3 linked regions of the Daphnia pulex genome follow. The protein of the gene in region 2 interacts with the protein of the main gene of each other region in a pairwise test. Links are inferred from orthologs where the notes say so. Each region holds a gene or a part of one and is shown on either strand. Other genes may lie near its edges.

Region 1 (3,651 bases), on a different chromosome or scaffold from region 2:
AACCTGTGCAAAATACTTTGTGCAGGAAAAATGAAAGATTTGGGAAATATGTTTCTTAAACCTTTTGGATTGTCAACTGATAATTTCAAAATCAATCAAGATCCAGCCACAGGCTCTTACTCAGTTAACATGTCCAAATGATTTATATGCTTACCCTCATTGAGGCCACTATTTGAAAAAGAAATGTCAATAATAAAAATTGGTAAAGCTGGAAATAATTTGAATAAATTCCTCGTTCTGTGGACATTCAGATTAAGGTATAATTTTCGGCCAGACGCCACGTGCAGTACAGTTATATAGTGATACATCATAGTACACTTTTCGTTCGATTTCAAATGACACGGAACTGCATACCAGAAGAAAAAAATCGGTAGTCAAAGGGTTTTTTTTGTTTTAATGTTAAGCTGCTGGTCAAGCTGGCATGTGTGTTCAAGCTACCTTTTCTCCACAGTTTAAAAAAAGCATACCAAACCAACGAAAACGCTTTTTAACAAATCTAGAAAAAAAAAGTCGAAAAAAGAAAGGAATAGATGGAAAGGATTTGAAGAAAATTGCCAGGTTTAAGAAAGGTAAAATATAAATAAGATAGCAAAATAGCAGGGGGATGTGTGTGCTACATGATTTGGGATATAGAAAGTAAATTTCATGGGATTGAGGAAGAAAGTAAGTGGCCCACACGGATGAATTAGTACTACATTAACAAAAAGGAATAATAATGGGGGGGGGGGATAGACACACCTGACGAATCTTAACTCGAAACAAAATGAAGAGGCCAACGGTGGGGAAGAAAAAGACGGCAGAAGAAAATTAAAACGAAGTATTAACATCAAGTCAATCCACAGGATTTAGGTTTTGAATTGAAAAAAGCACCTCGCACTGCGATTGAGAAATCGACACTTATCGAGAAAACCCCACGCCACATTTCATCCATTTTGGTTCTATTGTATGTCTCAGTCCGAAGATGTCCAACCAAGCCCAACACAAACAAACAGGTTTTTTCGTCGATCTCCCAAAGACCCCTACGTTCTTTACACAATTGCAGCGCGCGAAATCTCCAATTATTGTCTACCGGGTAGCGTAGTGGGTCGAAAAGAAAGGTGGTACAAAGAAGCCAAGAGTTTAATGTGTTTTTGTTTTGTTTTTTTTTTCAAATAAAAGTTTCTGCAAAGTGCCTTTCGTCGTCCACAATCCTTGAATCAGAGATTCTGGTCTCACAAGAGTGTAACGGAGAAAGAGATACTAAAAACCAAACACTTTTTTTTTTTCTCCAATCTAAAGCAAGGCGGATTAGTTTTTTTTTACGATACTTGACGCAAACCAAAGAGGACTACCGGAGAGTAGCTGAAGTATATAGAAGAGATTATTCATGGTTTTTTTTTTCTTTAAGATGAGAAAAAATAAGGAAAAAAAAAAAAAAAAACGAGAAAAACCCCGACGACACTCGAGTGGCAGTGCGCTGTCCCCAAAAGAGTCCCAAAAGAGTTTGTTTCTCATTTATAGATTATTTCCGAACACTGAAAAGCCTGCAAATAGATGAAAAAGCCTTTGATTAGTTTCACACGACCGAGAACTAACTTCATTTTTGAAAACGTACGAAAGTGAAGTAGTTGTTCAAGCTTCTGGTGTTGGCTTCTTCTTCTCCTTGCTTTTCTTCTTGAGGAAGGATGGTGTTCGAAGTCCTTTCTTCTTCTTCTTGTCCTTGGATTTGGAGGGAGAATCTTCCGTCGACATGTCGCGAGCTGACGATTCGTCGCGGCTACTCTGCGACACCTGGCTCTGTGGGTTGTCTATTTCGTCGCCATTCACTTCAGCGCCTGTGTAAATTGTTTGCAATCAAACGCATTAGTTTATTCACGTCCTCGAGTGTCATCGTCAATGTCAGTGGGTTATTAGCACGAGTTGCCACTCAAAATCGTTTTAAAAGTTATTATTTTTTTAATCACTTCACCCAGGTTGTTAGAAAAACTTCAATTAAATCTGGTAGTTAGTTATTCACCTATTTCGAGGCACAACTGACTGACTAGAGACCCGGGTCTTACAGGCTTCATCGAGAGTGTTTAAGAAACGTTTTTAGGTATTAGTTCAACTAAATAACAACAGCTATTAGCTACAGTGCTACACAGTTAAAAAACAAACAAACTAAAAGGGAAGTTAGCAAGCCGCAAACAACAATGAATAATCAAACAAGCGGAGGGACTGGGATGAGAAACGACTGTAATGTGTGAATGCAAACCTTTATTCTGGTGTTTCCTCTTGTCGCGGCCCAGCGACCACGAGCGACGCTTGAACATGTCCCAAGCATCGCCCGACCCTAATCCACACGACGGCCCAACACACAAAAAAACAATGAAATAAAAAAAAAACACACAACAGAAAAAGCGACAACTATAAGGAACAGATAAGCCTTAATGTTGGTCTATAACGTCTTTAAAAATCGACTAGAAATTCACGTTAGTTTTTTTTTAACGTCTTAAGCAATGTACAGTCTGAGATCTGTGTTCTTTTGTTTGGTTTTTTTTTTAAAGCGGTGAATTTCTTGACAATTACTAAGCATGCCAAGCATTTAAAAGAAATTAAATGGAGACGTTACAGGATAAAGTTTGAAAAAAAATACATCATTCAATAAAATTATAGGCCGCACTGCTGGCAAGGGGCGGCTTATAATCAAGAGGGTTATATAATGTTAGAAAGAGGCTCATCACTCACCGTCGCGCGGAAGGCGGGCGGATTTCGAGCGCTCGGCAAAAGGCTCAGGCGACTCGGCCCCTGTGGTATCTACCGGGGCAGACGGAACAGCCAACAAAACAGCAAACAAAAAAAAATAAAAAGGGTGGCTAGTTTTTTCTCGCATCCACGATTACATGCAGCGACACAAAAAGACACACAGCACGAAGCAGTCATCACCACACCCATTCATTCATCATGTGCATTCTCAATTCTGGCCATGACATCATGCAAAACACATGCTTGACTGCGACTCGATTACTAACTAAATTTGGAACCACAACAGCTAAGGATAGAGAGAATAGAAAGACGAGGAAAAATAAAAAAGACAAATGAGAAAAAAACAAACTAACCGTCTGCCGGGAGAAGTTGGCGTTGTGCGTGATCTTCTTGCGGCACGTGTTTCACAGCCACCTCAACTACTCGTGGACTTGCTACTCAACGAAAGGTATTTGTGTGTTTTCCCGAAAACCCAACACGGAAAAAGAGGAGAAACATATATAAAAAAAATAATAATCAAGGGAAACAAAAACGACAGTGAATTGAATTGGAAAGAAGAGGAAAATATAAGAACGACTAACAGGAAGTGACGAAAAAATAAATAATAATAATAATAGAGAAAACGAGTATACGAATAAAATTGCCCACCACCACCGCTATCGATCCACAACGAGAAGAAGAAACAACCAAATAATAAGATGATTGATATGAAAGACGTACCTTCGTCGTCACTTAGCGGCCGTGGCGATGTTGGTGATGATTTCCGTTCGGGACGGACTTGCTCACCACTTGGAGATAGTACGACAGACTCGGCTACAAGAGGCTCCATCGTGGGAGCTTCCGTAGTTGAGTAACTGACTTCGTGTTCCTCTGTAGTTTTTAAGAGAATCAATTATAACTTGCTCCAACTTTAGCTGACTTTATAGT
Region 2 (3,550 bases):
GCTGTTGAAATTGCAACTCATAAGGTCTTGGTTGCATACAAGGAGCAAGTCAAGGGTCGCGCCCGTCTTGGTGTTCAAGCATATGCTGATGCCATGCTGGTCATTCCGAAAGTGTTGGCACAAAACGCTGGATTTGACCCTCAAGACTCTATTGTCAAAATGCAACAAGAGTTTGTTGAAGGTGGACCCCTTATTGGTCTTGATCTACAATCGGGCGAGCCGATGATTCCAGCAGATTTAGGAATCTATGATAACTATCGTGTTAAGAAACAGATTCTCCATTCTTGGTAAGTTTCAAAATTATTGTTGATGTTACCAACTTATTTATTTATTTTTATTTTTTTAGCACGGTCATCGCTAGCAATCTGCTTTTGGTAGATGAGATTATGCGTGCTGGTTTGTCCTCATTGAAGTAAATGGCCGTGCCTCAAGGTCCACCGAGTTCCTGAGCAGCAATGGATGACTTTTTTCTAATCAATCTGCTTGAATTCTAATTTCGTTCCGGCTTACCATTTTCGTCCGCTTGAGAAACTAATGTTATTACAATTTGCTAATCACTACTAAAACAGCATTGTTTGATTCCGAAGTTATATTCATTTCAACAAATAAGTCTACAGATCAGTTAACATCAGGTTTTAGCTTAGTTAATGGTTTCATTTAAGAAAAGGTTGCTACTATTTCTTCCATTTTGCAACTTGTGTTCAAAATAAGCAAAAAAACAATTGCAAGGACGAATGAAGGTTTCTCTACATTCATGAGTGATAACGTGTAACCGTCTTTGTCATAGAATTTAACTATGAAATATTTAGCTACACAATATTGAATATTTTTGTAACAGTCAGGATGGGGAATTGGTTACACTATTGATAATACGAGGAGTCAAAATTTGCGATGGGGACGATGATGCTCCTAATTGAGATTTGTTAAAGTGAACTTAGTACGGTTGTCTTCGGCGCGTGGTCCTTTGTTTATCAAAGCGCATTTCCATTTCTTCCAATATTTTTGGTGTGTAACGCACAACTAGTTTCACTGAACCGTGAGCAGCTTTCAGGAGTTCCACAGCTTTCTCGTGATTTTCACCCTCTACCGACTAAAAAAAAAATTAACAGTCAGAGAAAACTTAAATGGAAGAAGTAAGTTTATCAATTTTACCACTCCATTAACAGAGAGCAATTGGTCACCACGCTTTAGACCACCATGTCTGTCTGCAACACCTCCAGGAATGATTCTTGATATGTAAATTGGTGAATTTTGTTCCCTTCCTACAAACATTCATTTGGTAATTATAAAAATTAATTTTCACCATTGCATTCTCAAGGAAAGGATATGCATAAAAATGTATTTATTTTGTTACCTCCCATGACATTGAATCCAAGACCTTCATCAGTTTTGGGGAGTTCTACGACTCGAGGATGGGCATGGCCTTCACTAGCAGCAAAAGCTGCAATTGTAGCTTTGGCTGTGGCAGAAGCTCGGACATCAGGTGATCCTCCCATTTCTACTGTCTCATAAACATGTTCGTAAACTTCTCTGACAGCTCTTAGAAAGTCACTCTGCAGCACCTTGTGAAGAGCAGACAGTTTTGCCGTTGGAACTTCTCCACCTAGTTTTGATTAGAAATTATTATGACCTAGTGCTCTTGATAACTGATATTTTAAAGATTTACTTTTCATCAACTTCTCCAGCAATTCCACAGCTCGGTTTATATCTAGAAGATAAATTTTAAGGGATTAATAAGAGCGTTCCACGACAGCTAGTTGCCTTCAGAAGTAAATGCCGTTTACCTTTGTCGAGAGACAATTGTTCACTTATAGTAGTAGCTGCCATAGTTTATATCAAGAAGTAGAGGTTTGCAATGAGAAAAACTTCAATAAATGTCAAAACTGGGTTAAAAAATGGAAGAATTTTCAGGGCAAAACACACGAACTTTCTGTCAATACATAGGCTCCGCCCTAAAACTGATTTGTCCGGCGATGGATCTGTTCTCCAACGCCCTCTTTAATTACAAAAAGTGTTATATCATAGTTTAAACCTGAAATGTACCGATATATTTTCGAATATTCAACGAGAAATTTTTAATTGTCTAATGTTTAAAAAAAACTGTATTTAAAAATTTCAGGTTAAATAGTAGCTGTATTTGCCGTACCCCGTAATGCTCGGCCAGCCAGAAGCGGTTTCCTCTAGACTAGAAGGTAATCAATAGCATGTGCCATACCCTCTCCAATCCCTCTCCCCGCACCCTTATACCAAGTTCCGCTTACATCTGACTATTCCAAAAGTAGCATCACTTTGTTAGGGTGCTGATGACAGTCCCCCAGATTTATCGAATCGTTTTTCTTTTTCTGCTTTAGCATAAACTTGTTGTCGCTTATTTAACAGTAGAAAACTGATGGAATAGTCAGGCATTGGTACCAGGGTCTTTTGACGTTTCTATTAGGATTTAAACTACTATTGCAATTAAGTATTTTAAAAAATTTCAATGATATACCGATTACGTATTCAGAATGAAAGGATGATACAGAAACATGTCTAAGCACAAGGTCAAAATGAAGAAAACAAATGTGTTTGGGTGTGTCAGTAGGAGTCAGATTGCTAATGTTTTGAAATAGAGTTGTAGTCTGATTTTCATGGAAGTCGATTTAAACTAATCAATTTTTGTCTGATGTGTAGTACTCATCCTCACAAGAGGGGAAGTGGTGGAGGAGGAATTGGCCTAGATTTTTGGTGATGAAATGAGGTCCGAATATCCATTACCCTGTTTCATGTTTTTGAATGTCAAAGTAACGCAACAACTCCAGATTTGCGAATTTTGTTTACGCTTTAATAGGTCAAATGTTGAATTATGACCTAGATGTCTGCCGCATTTGATAGGAGAACACAAGTATCGAAGAGCGGATGAGTGCGTTCGGGACAGAGGACGACGAAAAACAAAACATAAAAAAAAAAGTATTCAGACAAGTTGCCGAGAGATTGATATGGTAATTCACTTGAAAGACGACGGCTGAGTCAACAAATGCTGTGAGCGTCGCGCCGCCCGCTCTTTGGCCGCCCGCCGGGATAGACGAAGAACGCGCCTAGTGCGGACAGGACAGGAGGTACAAATAGCAGTCGGTGTCGATATTAGCTGGCATCGTGTTCTCTTGAACGAGCGAGGTTTAGTCAAGAAAAAGTTACTACACTTAATCTTAACAGTTCTTATCCAGACTATTCATCATCATGAAATCAACCAAAGTTATCACGCTGTTGCTGATTGCATCTTTCGCCATGGTAACGTCAATTACTTTGATTTTTTTCAATTTTCTTAATTTACAGGAATCTCCATATTTCTTTGTGGTTAAAAATAGCAAAAGCTAGGCCCAAGTATATTCATTTCCTTTCGTCATTTGGAATTCAGTCTTGTGTCATTCTGCTTATAAAATGCAACCTATTCTTTGTGTCGTGTCATTTAAAATTTAAAAAATCCTAACCGCATTTATTTCAAAATAGCTGGCTCTGTTTGATATTACCGCCGACGCTGCAGCATCTGAACAACGTCCGCAACGTCGTCGTC
Region 3 (4,223 bases), on a different chromosome or scaffold from region 2:
GCCTCGGGGGTCCAACCTAAAAGGTGTACCACTGGGCTGTGTTGCTATTGGTCTAGCCGGGCCTATAAGAAGAAAATAAGTTCCTCCTGGAAAGAAGAAACATTTTTCCTTTGAGGGGGCAGAAAAAAAAACAGCTGGACACAGTGATTACATGTACACCAAGTAGTTGTGTGAGCTGGGCCAACAACAAGAGAAGCTAGGCGCCATGTTGCCCAGCAGCTGGGAAAATAAGAAGAAAATGGCCATCATCATTATTTTCCAATGTAAGATGACGACAAGGTCGTCGTACCTTCTTTTAAACTTGTTCTGTTTTTCATTTTTTTTTTCTGACGGCCAAGACATTTGGCCGGCCAGATGCAAATGAAGCCATTTGGGAAGAAAAGAGAGTGGAAGACCTGGCCATCTTTCTGATGATGATGATGAGGCTATGCTGGGACTTTTATATTTTATCTTATATAGTATATAGAGTTGGCCGGCTGTTGAGATTTTTATATGACGGGCCGGCAGCAGCTGAGACATTCCATCGGGCGGCTGCACGACCGCTGCTGCGGCCGTGAATTGAGCCCCCTGGACTTGTGTGTGTTGTACATCAAAGATACTCGATCCTCTCCTGTTGCTATACGAGGCCGCCGCCCGTCAGGGCCGTCTCTCTAAATTGCCGCCGCCAACGATATGACGGGCCAATGAGTGAGGCCCTGCAGCATCAGGAGCCAAAAGAAAGAAACGTGTGATGTTTACGATCCCGGCGGACTCTATACAAAATATAAGAAGCTGGGCAAGAAAAAGAAAAACATTGTCCGTTTCTCTCTTGATGAGGTACCGTCGTGAGCCAGCGGATGACGGACCTTATACGGATGATTGGAATCCCCTCCCAGTCGAATTCCTACGACGATTTAGACATTCGGGAAACAAAAAACGGACAGGTGCTGGCGATAGTTTTAAAAGAAATGCCGGGCAAAAGAATCTCTCAACGGGTTGACATGGTGACGGATGCTTCTCTCTCTCTTCTATCCATTCTCTGATGTAATGTCTAACAAATGAGCGACGATTTATATTGTCTCCTTCTACCGTTTGTGTGGCTCTGGGCTTTTTTCCCTGTCTTATCTTGTCGCCCAGTCATTGGTATTCCAGGCCAGCGTTCAGCTTCTTTTCTTCTACTTGATCTCTACATCAAGTCTGGGCTATTTCTCTAAACACACGTCTCAATCCAAACGCAATTCTATTCCATCCGTTTGATACTAAGAAGATGGAAATTTTATTTAAAAAAGAGCCGGACATTGTGTGAGATATATTTCCGACATTTCCGTTTTAAAAATGGGAATAAAAAAGATGAAAACAATCGGACGAGACAGAGACAAAGGGCCATCTGTCAACCCCCTCTGGTCAAATAAAAATAAAAATAAATAAAATGTTATTTTTGTTTTTTGTTTTTTTGGCCCAGCTGCTGCCCGTCTTGATGATGATATTAAGTCGCAGGTAGTTACGACAGCAGCGGGTGACTTGTAGTAGTAGTAGACGAGTCCCTTTTTATTTATATAAACATGGCCCGTCTCGTCCTGGATGGACCCAACCAAAAAATATCTAATCCTAATAGGGGAAAATGGCTGGCCCTTCGTCGCCCGTCGTCGCCACGGTGAAAAATGAGCGGGACGTGAGGCGAATTTCCAATCACATCAAACGACAACAAACAACAACCACAAACGAAAAAAATAAGAGAGTTGTCCGTCTGGACTCCCAATTAAGTGACATATTCCGTCTATAAGGGGTGGCTGGCCGGCCCAGTCAACTTATATTTTTCTCCCAGACGCGTTCAACTCTCTATTTTTTGTTGTTTGTAGAGTGACATGAATGCGCGGGCAGGGCCGTCTGACTCAGAGACAATCAATTTCAAAAGAGAAAAAAGAGAAAAAATATTTTTCCAGCCGAATTTGGAAAGCCTATTCGTCTGCCCAGCAAAGATATGATGAGATGGTTGCCAAGTATTTTCTTTTTTTCGCTGTCATTACGTACACAGACGGACCAAAAGGCAACACACACACTGAGCTGCTGTGAGAGCTGAGCAGGTGAATATTTTATTTTTTTTCTTCTTTCCCGCTAAGTCACGGCGAACGCGCCCTCCTTCACGAAAAGAGCCAGAAGCGCAGATGAGTCAGCAGCAGCTCGGCCGGCCCTCCACCACAAGGAGGAATGTATATATGTTTCTTCTTCTTGTTTAATTCTGCCATGGCACCAAACGCATCACAGTTCAGACGGGCCGAGATAAATTGAACTGCGAGAGAATCTGACTGGAGAATCTCTCTCGTCCACTTGGCTTAGTTTCATGGCCGTCTCTAACCTAATACCTAGCTAGCTAGATAGCTAGGAGAATCATTACCTCGTAAACATTTTTTTTCCAGCCCAGCTCAAACAGACTTTCTCGCCCAGTTGAAATTCATTTGATTTCCTCCCCAAAGCTCAAACGAAATGAATTTCACACGACCTTTTCGGCTGCCCATCAATCTGTTTGCTGGACATATTTTATCTATTTTTTTGTGTGACGACGGCCAAGGTCGATCCTGCCCGTCTATCACACCTGTTGAGCTTCTCTAATCCCAACCGATCTTAATAAATTAAATTGTGTCCGTCGAGCCATTGATCAAATTCAAATTTAGCGCCATCGAAAAATCAAACCAAAAAATCTCACCTGTTGGCTCCTAACTCTTCCTCCTACCGCTGTTAAATAATCCAACCGAATTTCAATTTAATCCAAGCCTCCCACACTATTTAGTCTTCACTTTAAACTAAAAAAATGAACTTGTTCACTATAGACACAATCTGTTGAGGCATCCAACCACACACACACACAGGTGAGAAGACACACACAACACCAAAATTTAAAAAATGTTATTTATATGTGAGAGTCGGTAAGACGACGTCCTCGACACACGGACAACAAACTCGAGACTGAAGTTGAGAAAAAGCCAGTCGCTCATTTCCCCCCCACCACCACCTGAAAGAGAGAGAAGCCTCGTCTTACCTTTTTTCTACCTGTAGCTCTCCCTCCTTTTCTTATTTGCCCATTTTTTATTTCTACCTGTAGTTACAAGAGTCTGCCCTGGGGCCTTTTTTTATTTATTTTCTTCTTCTTCTTCTTCCATTCTTGTACATTTCCCCCCCTTTTTCCTTCTTCTTCTTCCTATTCTATTCGGCATTTTATTTTTTAAAAATAATCGAAATTGATCCGAGTCAATTCTGTTCACTTTATGCAGATCGACTCGTATTGCTCAAGAGTGTCCGATTGTTACGTGCAAAGGTGTGCTCAGCCTTGCGTCATCAGATAACACACCAAGTTATAAGACACTTGGGAGTCCCTTAACTTATTGTGCCGATCTATACCAGCAGTCGAATAAGGTTCGATAGCCATCGTCGTCTGCTGTAGTCATCAAACAGGTGAAAAAAAGGGCCTGGACATTTTCTTAAAATAAAATAAAAATAACACCCAGATTCCAAATAACATTCAAACGGGAAAAGAAGAAGAAAAAAGGTGAAAAAAGTCACAAGTCGGCGCTAATTTTCACGAACGTCTCGTCTATGTGTGCCTGGAAAAACCTGTGCAGCAGCTGAAAGAACTAACCAAAAGGTGAGAAAGGTATTAGATGTGATAAGAAAGAAAAGAATAATTTATCTTTTTCTTCAGAAAAGAGAAAAAAAATTAAAAAAATGGCTGCCGGCTATATAGACACACCGACAGGTAAACACATGGCAGATTTCTACATCTACTGGCGTCCTTCTCTATTTTCTATTTTTTCTCCCCCTTCCTCCATCCAGAGGCCTCCTGACTTCCAGGCGCCGCCATCTTGGAAAGCGCGCGCGAGCGGCTTGACTTTTCATCCCAATTTCCACCTTTTTCCTTTTTTACCTTCTTTGCCGTATATCTATTCAAATTGGTTAAAAAAAAAGGACAGGGGAGGGAGGGTTATTTTAAGTAGAGATCAAACACCGAGATATTTCCAACCCAAAAAGGTTGATATTTCTTGAAAGTTTGGTGGTGTGAGGCGACTGTCGCCAACCCTTTTAGCACAAAGTCCAGGATATATCTGTGAATATATAAAACTTGCCGGCTCTCTCTCTGATAAGATTCAAATGAAATAGGCCTCAATGTTGATGGTTTTAACAAAATAATAATAAAAAACACGAAAATGCTTTCGTCTTTTTTGGGTTGGGACTCGTTGGAAATATCATTT

Evidence for each region.
Region 1: the proteins of protein lin-7 homolog C-like (region 2) and protein hu-li tai shao-like interact in a two-hybrid assay, tested with the Caenorhabditis elegans proteins (3 studies listed by BioGRID). The link is inferred for Daphnia pulex from reciprocal best matches to the Caenorhabditis elegans genes lin-7 and add-1.
Region 3: the proteins of protein lin-7 homolog C-like (region 2) and epidermal growth factor receptor-like interact in a two-hybrid assay, tested with the Caenorhabditis elegans proteins (3 studies listed by BioGRID). The link is inferred for Daphnia pulex from reciprocal best matches to the Caenorhabditis elegans genes lin-7 and let-23.

The regions. Positions count from the first base shown.
Region 1 is NC_060022.1:4,675,322-4,678,972, reverse strand, and holds the end of protein hu-li tai shao-like, read right to left. Parts: intron 3,595-3,651; coding exon 3,445-3,594; intron 3,159-3,444; coding exon 3,078-3,158; intron 2,776-3,077; coding exon 2,707-2,775; intron 2,312-2,706; coding exon 2,234-2,311; intron 1,815-2,233; coding exon 1,612-1,814; 3' UTR 1,595-1,611; intron 1,524-1,594; 3' UTR 236-1,523; downstream 1-235. Other genes in the region: tetratricopeptide repeat protein 1-like, read left to right, coding at 26-141. UniProt on the Caenorhabditis elegans protein: Membrane-cytoskeleton-associated protein that promotes the assembly of the spectrin-actin network. Plays a role in time-dependent memmory loss and the retention of conditioned behavior over time.
Region 2 is NC_060028.1:9,842,863-9,846,412, reverse strand, and holds protein lin-7 homolog C-like, read right to left. Parts: upstream 1,977-3,550; 5' UTR 1,828-1,976; coding exon 1,785-1,827; intron 1,709-1,784; coding exon 1,667-1,708; intron 1,604-1,666; coding exon 1,355-1,603; intron 1,263-1,354; coding exon 1,153-1,262; intron 1,091-1,152; coding exon 935-1,090; 3' UTR 575-934; downstream 1-574. Other genes in the region: T-complex protein 1 subunit zeta-like, read left to right, coding at 1-287, 347-416.
Region 3 is NC_060021.1:730,304-734,526, forward strand, and holds the start of epidermal growth factor receptor-like, read right to left. Parts: upstream 2,943-4,223; 5' UTR 2,684-2,942; intron 1-2,683. UniProt on the Caenorhabditis elegans protein: Tyrosine-protein kinase receptor which, upon binding ligand lin-3, activates 2 signaling cascades: the let-60/Ras and MAP kinase signaling pathway and the let-60-independent phospholipase C-mediated Ca(2+) signaling pathway.